Coturnix japonica: one gene and its partners. The protein of the gene in region 1 purifies or fractionates together with the protein of each later gene. This does not show direct contact. Links are inferred from orthologs where the notes say so. Each region holds a gene or a part of one and is shown on either strand. Other genes may lie near its edges. The genes, in order: SAP30, SIN3B and SUDS3.

Region 1 (3,748 bases):
GGTGGTCAGCAGTAAACTGGATGGCAGTTCAAAAATCAAGGGGCCAGTGGGCATCTATAGCACACCAACACCACACAGGAACTGCATGCTGAAACTCTCCAGAACTACCTACTTCCCTGCACCACTACCACTGAAAATACATTTCCTTTCTTCTGTTCTAGGGATATCCATCAGTTGTGTCATGCTTTATTATTCCTGTCTGAGCAAATAAACAGGCAAAAGCTGCAGTTGCCACTGTGCCAGACAGCTACCAAAAGCCACAAAGAACAGCAGGTTTAGAGAGCTTTCAGAGATGCCATCCAATGTTTTTAGCTGACAAAAACCACAGCCCAGCATCAAACTACTTCCAATCTCCTAAAATCCTCTTATAGTCAAAGCCTTCAGGCTTGAGCCGTGTGCCTCCAGGCAGAGATTCCTGCATGAAGTTTCATCACTGACATTGCTGACGCTGACCTTAAGGATAAGTTCACAATCCTCAAGCACCTTCTGACAAACACTGGATAAATCTCTTGGTTGAGGCCGGGTAGGCTGTGCTCAACGATTAACACACAAACTGTAACAGAAATAATCCAGCACACATGTAGGAAGAAGAAAGCTTTAAGTGCATTCACATTATACTATGAAAAAAGTTTGAAAGTAGTTCACTTCCAAAACGGGTGGTGTTTCACTGGCCTACAATAAGGAAGGCAAGCAGAAATGCCTTCTTATTTCAGCTCCTCCTCAGCAAAACTGCCTCAGCATCTCTATCCCCAAGAAGGACTAAAACCAGTGAGCTCCCTCACTGAGAAACTTCCAGCTACACTAAGTGGTAACTACAGGCACCATCTGCAACGTGCTTCACATGGAAGGAAAGGATTGGAGGGATGTGACAGAGAAGCAGTTATAGCCCAAGTCCGGTGTGTCCTGTCAACCTTTACAAAGACTGATTTTCATAGCAAAACAACTTCTAGCAGGCTCCTGGAGCCAAAACTGTAAGGAAAGTTCAAAACAGCAGCTGCCTGAGATTCTGCACATCTAATAGAGAAAATACACCCTGGAATCCAGTTTGCTTTTGTCATATTAAAAGCCAAGCACATCAGGAGCCATCCCCAAAAGCAGGCACGGCTGAAGCAGGAACAGACTTAACGTAACTATTAGAAAAACCGTTGGCTACCTCTGGAGTGTCGATGTCTTGCACTGGTGAGTCACCATCGTCATCACTGCCTTTTCTCTTCCTTCTATTTCTCACACTCTGAATTAAGTTTTTGTGGAAGTCGCAGATATAAAGGTGTCTCGCCTACAAGAGTAAGACCGCATCTTTCAATCAAACCCGTGCAAGCTCCTCCCAGCCTGGCAGCACAGAGGCATCTACAGAGACATTCCTTAGGCAGCCTCGCTCACGCGGAGCGAGGTGGGGAAGCCCCTCTGCCTGATAGCGCTGCACGGAGGCATTGTTATGTTACCTCCACCGACTCGGCGGGAGGACGGGGGGAAGCGGCTACCGGTTGACTGGCAGAGAACGTCGCGCAGCGGGGACAAGCGCGCACACAACCCTCCCTCCAACCGCTCGCAGCAACTCGGGGATCGGCAAACAAACACGCACGAACGGAAGGCGGGCAGCCTCCGGAACATCCCGCGGGAGGCAAAATGCCACCTCCTCCCCATCCGCACGGCTTTACCTCCGCAAGGTCAAGCGACACGCGGGCCGCTCCCCTCATTCCCCAGCTCTCCTGCACAGGGCCGCACCGTGCGGCCGCGCCGAGCCCTCCCCACACGGAGCCCCGCGCCCACGGCCGCCGGGTGGGGCACCGACAGCGCCGGGCTCCAGGCGGGACGGGGCGGCGGCAGCGCTGCGGGAAAGGAGGGACTGGGAAACGGCGCTTCCCCGCCGCCGGCAAAGACAAAAAAAAAAAACAACCCGCAAACAAAAGAAAACACGCCAAAAAAGAACTTTAAAAGCCGCCCCCGAGCCGCTGCCCGCTGCCGTAAGACTTACGCTCTTGTCCAGCTCGATCTTCACCTTCTTCTGCGAGATGCTCTTCTGGATCCTCTTGCTGAAGCTGGCGTTGCCGGCGGCGCGGCCGCAGCGCTCTCCCTCCTCCCGCAGGCAGCACAGCTGCCCGGCCCCGGGGCCGCCCGCCCCGGCCGCGCCCGCGGCTCCCACGGCCAGCCCCGGGGGCGCCGACCCCGCCGGCACCTCCGCTCCGGAGCCCGCACCGCTCACCGCGCCCGCGGCGGCGACGGCGGGGTCGGCCCCGCGTTGGGGCAGCTCCTCGGGGGCGAAACCGTTCATGCCCCGCGTCGGGCCGGCGGGAAGCCCCGCGAGCGCCGCCACCGCTTCCCCCCGGCGAGGGGACTCGGGCCCGGAGGGTTCTACGGCCGCGCTCAGCCCGGACCGCGAGGGAACACGCGCGGCGCGACGGGCGCCCTCGCTCCGAGCCCCGCGGCTACCGGCGCGCTGGCGGCGCCCCACGGGCCGCCCCGCTTCCTCCTTCCCCCTCTGTCATGTGGAGACTCTTCAGCTGTTTCCTATGCAACAACAGCAACCTGCCCGCCGCCCCGCCCCTCAGCACTGCGCCTGCTCAAGGCCGAGCCGCGTTGCGCTCCGGGAAACGCAGTTCGTCCCGCCGCTCTGCGCTGCGGGCGGCGAGGCCGGGAAACTACGGCTCCCGAGCTGCGCGGCGGACGGGGCGCTCCGCTCCGCACACACCGCAGCTTGTTGCAGCTCGGTGCCGCGGCTCCGCCCGCCCCCCGCCGGCATGTGGCGGTGTCGGCCCGGGCCGGCTGGTAGGACGCCGCCTTCGCTCCTCCCCGTCGGCGCGGCCGTTGGGATTTGAAATGCGGCCGTGCCGCTACCGGGGGCGGGAAGTGGATTCTGAGGCTCCGCGTTGTGTCCGGATCAAACGCTGCCTGTATTGAGATATTTCGAGCTCTAAGAAAGCTACACGAGAGCCGCGTTAACGCACAGCCTGTAATAGCTCAGCCGCTGTGGGGCCGCCTCTGACCTATTTTCGTCCGAGTGCGTTCAGAGCGCAAAAAGGCGGCTTTGCGCTCCTTTTTGAGCCCTTAAATTCGCTAACGGGCCCGAGCGCCGTGAGGTAACCGCGGAAATATGCGGCCGTATCCATTACTGTGCGAGTGTGGAATCAGGAGAGTAACCGGGAGGTCAGCGAGCGATTTGAGGAGACGCAGATCCCGTGTAAGCCCAACAACTGCCTGAGCCAGGGAGTGCGATTATGCTGCAGTTTGGGTTTGTGCTGCAGATGGCTTTTTAATCCGGTTGCGTAACCTGGCATTAGAGAACGAGGGTAGGTCCCGCTTACGCTCCCAGCAGTTGCGACTGAAGGATCCAGCGAGTGGAGTTAGGCTGAGCGTACAGTGACAGACAGCAGTTATGCATGAGGGCACGTTTTGTGATTAAAGGGAGAAATTGGGTTAAGAGCTGGAAAAAATACCGAACCCTCCTTTGTTACAGCCCAGCTGGGTTCAGTTCCACACCCTGCCACTGTGTCAGCTCAGAAAAGGGACGTTTAACTCGCTGCTCAAGTTCCTTGTGATTCGACCCTTTCAAAGATTATAATGATGTTAATAATAACAAACAAAGCCACACAACAGTAGGAGACCTTACCTAAAGAAGATATAGGAAGAAGTGTGAGTTCCAGGAAGTTTCCAGCAGAAATCAGGGTCACAAGTAGCAATTTCTACCAGCTTACACTGTGTCTTTTGTGATCCGTTTCATTTCATCAGATGGTTTTGACCTTATGCTGAG
Region 2 (3,648 bases), on another chromosome or scaffold:
ACAGGAAATGGACCATGTGAAGTGAATAGTGTCCAGAAAACTGAGCATGAAAAGAATCTTGAGCACAGCAAAAAGCGATCCAGGCCGCTGCTGTTGCGTCCTGTTTCTGGCCCAGCAAAGGTATCTCTCTGCAAGTGACCTCATATTACTCGTTTTGTTTATGTAATTCCTTGGGTAAAGTTGTAATGAGTAGTGACTGTGAAGCATGTAGGTTAGGTACAAGGGGGAAAAAAATCAAAACTATTTTATATAATCTGCAAGGAAAGCATTCTAAGATGTATATGGTAGCATGTTGTATACTGATCATCAAGCCTTTAGGTGCAGAGTATTGGTCCTCAAAAGGGTAATTCATGGCTTCTGCAAAGGAAACTTTCTTTGGAATTCTTCCTGAAGTGATCCTTCTCCTCCTCAACTAGGATTCATTTGATACAGATTGCTGTGGAGGACTTGACATAGCAATGCTAGATTGCTGTTCGGGAAATACCGATGATCAGACTTTGCAGAGAGCTGTTCTGTGTCAACAAGTGGAGTTTGATAGCATTTGAATGACAACATATTAAGTATAATCGTTTGTTCTTTTGACAGAAGAAAATGAAACTGAGAGGTACCAAAGATCTGTCAGTAGCAACAGTGGGAAAATATGGAACGCTGCAGGAGTTTTCATTCTTTGACAAGGTCAGTACACGGCCTGTTGTCACGCTGTGGGCTTACTTTAAACTTGTTATTATTTATTTAATCTGTGTGTCAGCACTTAGCAATTGCCTGACTTCAAGTGGCAGAGGGAGGGCAGACCAAGAAAAAAGCAAATAGATGGGTTTGGAAGAATGGGAACTGATCATTAGCCATTTCCCGAATGCTTGTTTCTATCACGTACGTTTTACTGTGCTTTTCAGCAGCATTTCCTGATAGTGACTATATGTAGCTATTAAATTAATGTTTGAAACTGAGACTTCTGGGGAATGTTCTCTTTTTATGCTGCAATGCAAATAGAGGTTGGTCTCCATACCTGTGGTTCAGACTCCTTAGAATATGAACACTAATTAAAAGTGACATTCAAGTGGTTTGATAATTTCTTTCCAAACTGTCTGTAGGTGCGTAGAGTACTCAAAAGTCAGGAAGTCTATGAAAATTTTCTCCGTTGCATTGCTCTCTTCAACCAGGAGTTGGTCTCTGGTTCTGAGCTGCTCCAGTTAGTTACGCCATTTTTAGGGTAAGTTACTGATTGCCATCTCTGCTGCATTGGCCTTTTTCAGCCTTGCTCTGTTAATTTTTGGTAGGTGCTGTGAATTTTGTCACTGAAGCTTTGAATTCAACATCAGAAATACATTTTAGGTAGCATGCCAGCAATGCAAAGCTAATCCACAAAGAGAAATAATACAATTGGAATCTTTAATGTAGCTACCCAACTCTTGGGGAGCATTCTGGGGAGGAGCTTATTTAGGTTTCATGCTTTTATGACAAGTATTAGCCAGCCTAAAACTGTTGGAATGAAATAACATAGGTCATGCTTATTTGTGTTTTTTGAAGGAAATTTCCAGAGCTGTTTGCACAGTTCAAGTCCTTTCTTGGTGTAAAAGAGCTTTCGTTTGCTTCTCCACTGAGCGACCGATCCGGAGATGGAATGAGTCGGGAAATAGATTATGCTTCCTGCAAACGCATTGGATCAAGTTACCGTGCTCTCCCAAAAACCTACCAGCAGCCAAAGTGCAGTGGGAGAACAGCCATTTGCAAGGAGGTACTTTGGCATCATCCACTAAATCCCTGCACAAACACTGTAATTATGTAAATGAAAGTACAGCTTCTGCACATGGGCTCCTCTTTAACTGACTATCCCTCTTCAGTCTTGTATCAGTTATTCATCCAATTCATTGAAATAAGAGTATCCACATTCAGCTTGTTAGATTTATCTAAACACATCCTCAGTCATGTCTTTCAGTGTAATCTCTTTTGAGGGTGTTTGCATGCACAAATTTATTTGAATGGACAAAAAAAAATGGAAGTTATTTCTCTAGCAGTGGACTCACCTTTGGAAGCAGTGTTTCTCCTGAAAGAGCACTGTGAGCCAATGCCATAGGCACTGCTGTCACTGAGAACAGACATCTACTCCCACTGTTCCCTGTTGTCTACTTTACTGCAATATCTGCTTTGAGAGAAGATAGTGAAGCTGCTTGTGAACTCTGATGCATTTCTACACAGACCTTTAATTATCTAGGCATAGTCATAATAGTGTTAGCTAGGCTGAAACTTGCAGTAGAAACTTAAGGAAGAACTGTTCAAGAATAAAACAGAGAAGTATCAGAGCTCTTAGAACAGCTCTGGCTCCTAAGACATTATTCAGTGTTGTATCTTTGCACTCTTGCAGGTGTTAAACGATACCTGGGTTTCATTTCCATCCTGGTCTGAAGACTCAACTTTTGTCAGCTCCAAGAAGACTCCTTATGAGGAACAGTTGCACCGCTGTGAGGATGAGCGGTTTGAGGTACCTCTGCTGTTCAGCTTCCATTCTCCCTCCTCAGAAAACAAAACTTTTAGCTGTTAAGGCTTTTTACTGAACTAATCATTACCAAATACTGGAAGCTTTATTAGTGTTCATTAGTTTGAGCAAGAGTTTGGGGTTTTCCCACTTGCTAACAGTTCTTTTAGGCATGAGTGCAGTTCTGGAAAGCATGTTACCTTTGGAGAACTGGCATAGGTCTATTTTCCAGTAAGAAGCCTTGCTGATGCTTCTTAGCTCCACCCAGCAGGCAGCAGATCTGAGCACTGCTCAGCTCCATTTTCCTGCGCTGTTAAACTGTGTCTCTGTGGACTCTTTAACAGCTGGATGTTGTCTTGGAGACCAATTTAGCCACAATACGTGTGCTGGAGAGTGTGCAGAAAAAGCTTTCTCGTCTCACTCAAGAGGATCAGGAAAAATTTCGGCTGGATGATTGCTTGGGAGGGACATCAGAAGTGATCCAACGCAGGGCCATCTACCGCATCTATGGTGATAAAGCACCAGAGATCATTGAAAGTCTGAAGAAAAACCCAGTTACTGCAGTCCCAGTTGTTCTTAAGAGGTAATTCCTGTTCTCCCACACTCACCTGGGATCTTAAAGAAACCAACACAGGATTGTAAAGCTCATTTTTGTTTTTTTCATTTTTTTTTTCCCCCAATAAGTAACTTGGTTTTTACTTCCTTACATTATAATAAAGTACAGAAATAGGAAATAAAGTAGATTTTGTTTACTTCTGAAGTGACAAATATTTTAGCAGCTCGTTAGAAGCATCTAAAATGTTTCAGTAGCTTGCTGAAAATGCTTCTGTCTGTGTTTAGAGTTCACAGACTGTGCTTTAAAAAAACATCAAGTTTTTGAGGTTGATTTGGGAGCAAAATATGAGTTTTAAGTCCTCCCTTCTTCTCTGTCCTGCTGTTTCTGAATACTTGGGTCATACACTTCTTTTTGCAATGCTGAAAGGTTCTGTGAAATGATCTCCAATGAGAAAGTTAAGGTGTTGGAAATTGTTGTTATTTTCTAGTCTTCCAAGCATTTTTAAACAGCTGGTTTTGGTAGACACTGTTAGAAAGGACAGCTTATCTCCAGTGATGGTGCTTTTATTTGTCTTTTCAAACTGAAGTAGATTGTACATTTATGCAGATTGAAAGCAAAA
Region 3 (3,648 bases), on another chromosome or scaffold:
GATGGTGAACCATGGTTTAGGATGTGGGGGAGAGCGTGGAATCAACACAAGGACAAAAACCCTGAAAGTCTGATTCCACATCCTGAAATTCCCTACACAGTCTCTGCTTTGGAAATATGATTTTATAAATGCCTCTGCAAGACCTTGGGGGGCCTTTACTATCCTTAACCATTCACTACTTTAAGCTAATGGTCCTTTCACAGCTTCTTCCGGACACAGAAAAAGCAGCCACTCCTGAGCTCTCACATTTACTTCTGGAGCAGGTACACCAATATCTGTCCTCCTTCATATGCAGCACAACAGTAATGGGCACAGTTAAAGATCCTAAGGAACTGTTTATTCCTCTCAATGTAACCTACAGGACAGTAGCTCTACACAAAACTAAAGTTCTGAGAGCATCTGTGAAGTGACAAGCAGCCTCTTTGTGTCTGGTTTGTGCTTCAAGAAGTTTAAGCTCCAGGCAGCAGCTTTTAGCAGAGTTGCATACACTGAATCCTCAATGAAACAGCACTACCAGAAGACAAGCAAAAGGAAAAACAGATGACCAACAGCACACGATGCTGCTGCTTAGACAACAAATCCAAAACTTACTTTTAGTATGAAAATTACAACCTCGTCTCATTTTTTTGAGCCAACAGAGTAGGCTACAGACGAGCATGCTGCTTGGAAATGGCTTTCTGCTTAAGAAGAATGAGATTGCCTCCTTGATTATCTCATTTTGCATGTCTCCGATTAAGACCTACTAATAAATTTTACACAGAAATCTTATTTTCTTTCCATTTTGTGAGGCTTCCACAGCTAAACACCCATAAAACTTAAAGAGCTATATCCAATCAGCAATTCTGAAGCTGCCTCTCCTGCGTTGGATCCGATCTTTCAAGGTTATTAGGATTTGTTATCAGAAATTTGTCATCGTGCTTATCTGGTGCACATTTCTTCTGCCACCTCGTGGAACAAAGAGTTGTTACTACAAAGCAGAGCACGTGGACTGTGAACACTGTTGGCAACAGCTGTACCTGCAATCACTGAACTCCCATATCTTAGCTGACCAGCTTCAATGCTACTCCAAACTGCAGCCAATGGCAGCTCTCTTACATGAGATTAGATTTGACAAAACTATTTCCCAAGTGTCACAGTGCACAATTTCTTTTTTCTATGGAGTCATTTGTAAGTCCCCATGCTAGTAGTTACTCCAGAAAGTCTATGAGGTCTGAACACTCCATTATCGCTCATTTACAAAAGCCATAATGATTAATTCTTGGAGGACGGAGCTAATGACTGCTCAAAAACGTTTCACCCCCGGATTCCTTAATAAAGTGATTTCTCTCTGCAGTCATTTTCACTTCACAAAACAAGGCTCAGAATGATTAAAATAGAAATTTACCATGTCTTACCATCTTTTATCATAGTAGAGTTTTCCATCTTCTATCCGGGCCTCAAACCGCTGCGCTGGAGACTCAGCTGGTGTAGCTGGGAGGTGTTCAGGGGAGGAAGGAGAGACTGAGTGGAGAGAAGAGACCATTTAAAGATTAGCATATGTCCACCATGCAGCAGCACATCTGCCTGCAGAATCATTTAACATGGCTGCATTAAGCAAAAATAAGCACAGAAAGCTACAAATTCAGATATCCTTTAGAAAGATACTTTCTGTTGGGATGACTAATTCAACCTTGGCCTTGCTTACTTAAATTGTAACATCTACTGAATAGATCAAGCAACCAAAGTATGTACAGGCAGGTGATAAACACTGCATCCTTGGATTCATTTTACTTCTAATTCATAATGTACTAATAGAATAGGGTCAGGATTACTTCAGCATGATAGTACCTGTATCTTGAAGTGAAGCGTAGAGATACACCTAGAGAGCTAAACCCACAAAGCTGGAAATTACTACTAATTACTCTGCCTACTTTACAAAGACATGTCCAGACACATATGAATACAGAGAAAGAAAGTCTTGCTACGCAGCCACATTGACCCATGTTGTCAGTGGTCTCTCATTGCCCAAATGCTTCACACACCTGAAGGATACATACTGCTGCCTCCCCATCCCCAAACTTCCTAAGAGATTATGAGACTCCACAGGGCACCCCTTAGCCACAGTAACCACACAAAGAACAGCAATTACTCAGTCAAAACAATCACACAACCAAATTACCCAGTCAAGAAGTCTACCATATAAATCTCTGTCCAAAACAACATGGTTGTGAACAAGTTCCAGTGTCACTGCGAACTCACCTGGTCTCTTGGGTGATTTAAGCTGCATGGAAAGAGAACAGAGAAAGCGTGAGGGATCTGACAATGACCAAGGATGTAATAACTTTAGATGTGGTCTTTCTTCCCATACTCTAAATGGTTGTATTATTTTTTTTTTAATTAAAGGGTACAGTTAAGTGGCATAACAAAACCAGAACACTGTGCCATAAGCAGCTAGAGGTGCAGATCATCTCATAATACTTCAGGGCCAGAAACTGATATTTTTCAGAGCATTCTGACTGTCCACCAAACCAAATCCATCCGACACGCTCCATTCTCTGAGTATGGCATACCCTGAGAGCAGCTGGATCAAACACAGAATGTAGATCATTAGCAAGACTTCTACAGCTGCCACAAAAGGCATGCTCCATTAACATCATCAAAAGCCTTAATGAGCAGCCCCTAATATGAGAAATCGCATAAGCCTTAAAGCAGTTAGCAAGGATAATCACATCTAGAAGAAGCTGAACAATAAATAAACACACTGTACCCTACCCCGTTCACTGAAGCACTGCAAGATTGGGGAGAAAAAAGAAAAGCCCCCAAAGGCTTGGAACAGAGGCTGGGATCTCAAAGAAAACAGTGCTACCATCTGTTCAGCCATGCAGGGGAAGACAAGAACACGGTAAGATAGCTTATCATTTGGTTCCAACAAAAGGTAACGCTGTTAGGCAGCAGTCATTTTAATTAGGTTAATTAAACATACCAAAATAGAAGGGAGGAGATACCCTCTTGCTAAATCTTATCTTGTGTTACTTCAGAAAGCCTACTGGGATGAAACAGCCCCACATCTCAGAAAGGAACATAGGACAGAGAGCTCTGCTCTTCTTTAAAATAAAGAAATATAACTCAAGCCAGAATCCCTACCTTATTTAGGGTTCTCAGGTCCTCCATTATTTGCTCATCCGTCAACAAGTAATTCAGCTGAGGTATCCAGAATTAAGGTTCTCTAAAGCTCTTGACAAGGCTAAAAATTAAAGGTCGATGATATTTCACTTTACAGAAACCTTCTGGGTTATGCTTAGTGAAATTGCATCAGATTTTAATAAGGGCATTATACTTTTTTATCATACAATTAATGCAAGTCAGCCCCCACAAAGCCTCATATTATTAGCAGCAAGCACTACAATATCTCTTTAGCTTATTCACTTAAAACCATCCATGAACAACCTTTAGCACGCTGACATTTAGTGGAGGCATCAAACAAGGAGCATTTCCAGTGCTTTTCAGCTTGCGTTGCCGTACAGAACAATCTGTGAGCTGCAGCACAACAGACTTCCTTGAAATCCTGTAAAATGAAGCTGAATGCCACCCAGAGCTAGGACAAAAAAAGAAGTCAGCACTTCACGACTCAATAGGAAGGAATAGAGACAGGAACAAGAAGAAAAATCC

The links.
Region 2: the proteins of SAP30 (region 1) and SIN3B purify together in Homo sapiens (affinity purification with mass spectrometry; 4 studies listed by BioGRID and IntAct, with this or other methods). This does not show direct contact. The link is inferred for Coturnix japonica from reciprocal best matches to the Homo sapiens genes SAP30 and SIN3B.
Region 3: the proteins of SAP30 (region 1) and SUDS3 purify together in Homo sapiens (affinity purification with mass spectrometry; 4 studies listed by BioGRID and IntAct, with this or other methods). This does not show direct contact. The link is inferred for Coturnix japonica from reciprocal best matches to the Homo sapiens genes SAP30 and SUDS3.

What each region holds. Positions count from the first base shown.
Region 1 is NC_029519.1:38,529,618-38,533,365, reverse strand, and holds the start of SAP30 (histone deacetylase complex subunit SAP30), read right to left. Parts: upstream 2,599-3,748; 5' UTR 2,273-2,598; coding exon 1,976-2,272; intron 1,277-1,975; coding exon 1,154-1,276; intron 1-1,153. UniProt on the Homo sapiens protein: Involved in the functional recruitment of the Sin3-histone deacetylase complex (HDAC) to a specific subset of N-CoR corepressor complexes. Capable of transcription repression by N-CoR.
Region 2 is NC_029543.1:3,320,572-3,324,219, reverse strand, and holds part of SIN3B (paired amphipathic helix protein Sin3b), read left to right. Parts: coding exon 1-120; intron 121-585; coding exon 586-675; intron 676-1,091; coding exon 1,092-1,210; intron 1,211-1,527; coding exon 1,528-1,735; intron 1,736-2,362; coding exon 2,363-2,479; intron 2,480-2,817; coding exon 2,818-3,056; intron 3,057-3,635; coding exon 3,636-3,648.
Region 3 is NC_029530.1:8,704,374-8,708,021, forward strand, and holds part of SUDS3 (sin3 histone deacetylase corepressor complex component SDS3), read right to left. Parts: intron 3,186-3,648; coding exon 3,124-3,185; intron 2,261-3,123; coding exon 2,239-2,260; intron 1,501-2,238; coding exon 1,395-1,500; intron 1-1,394.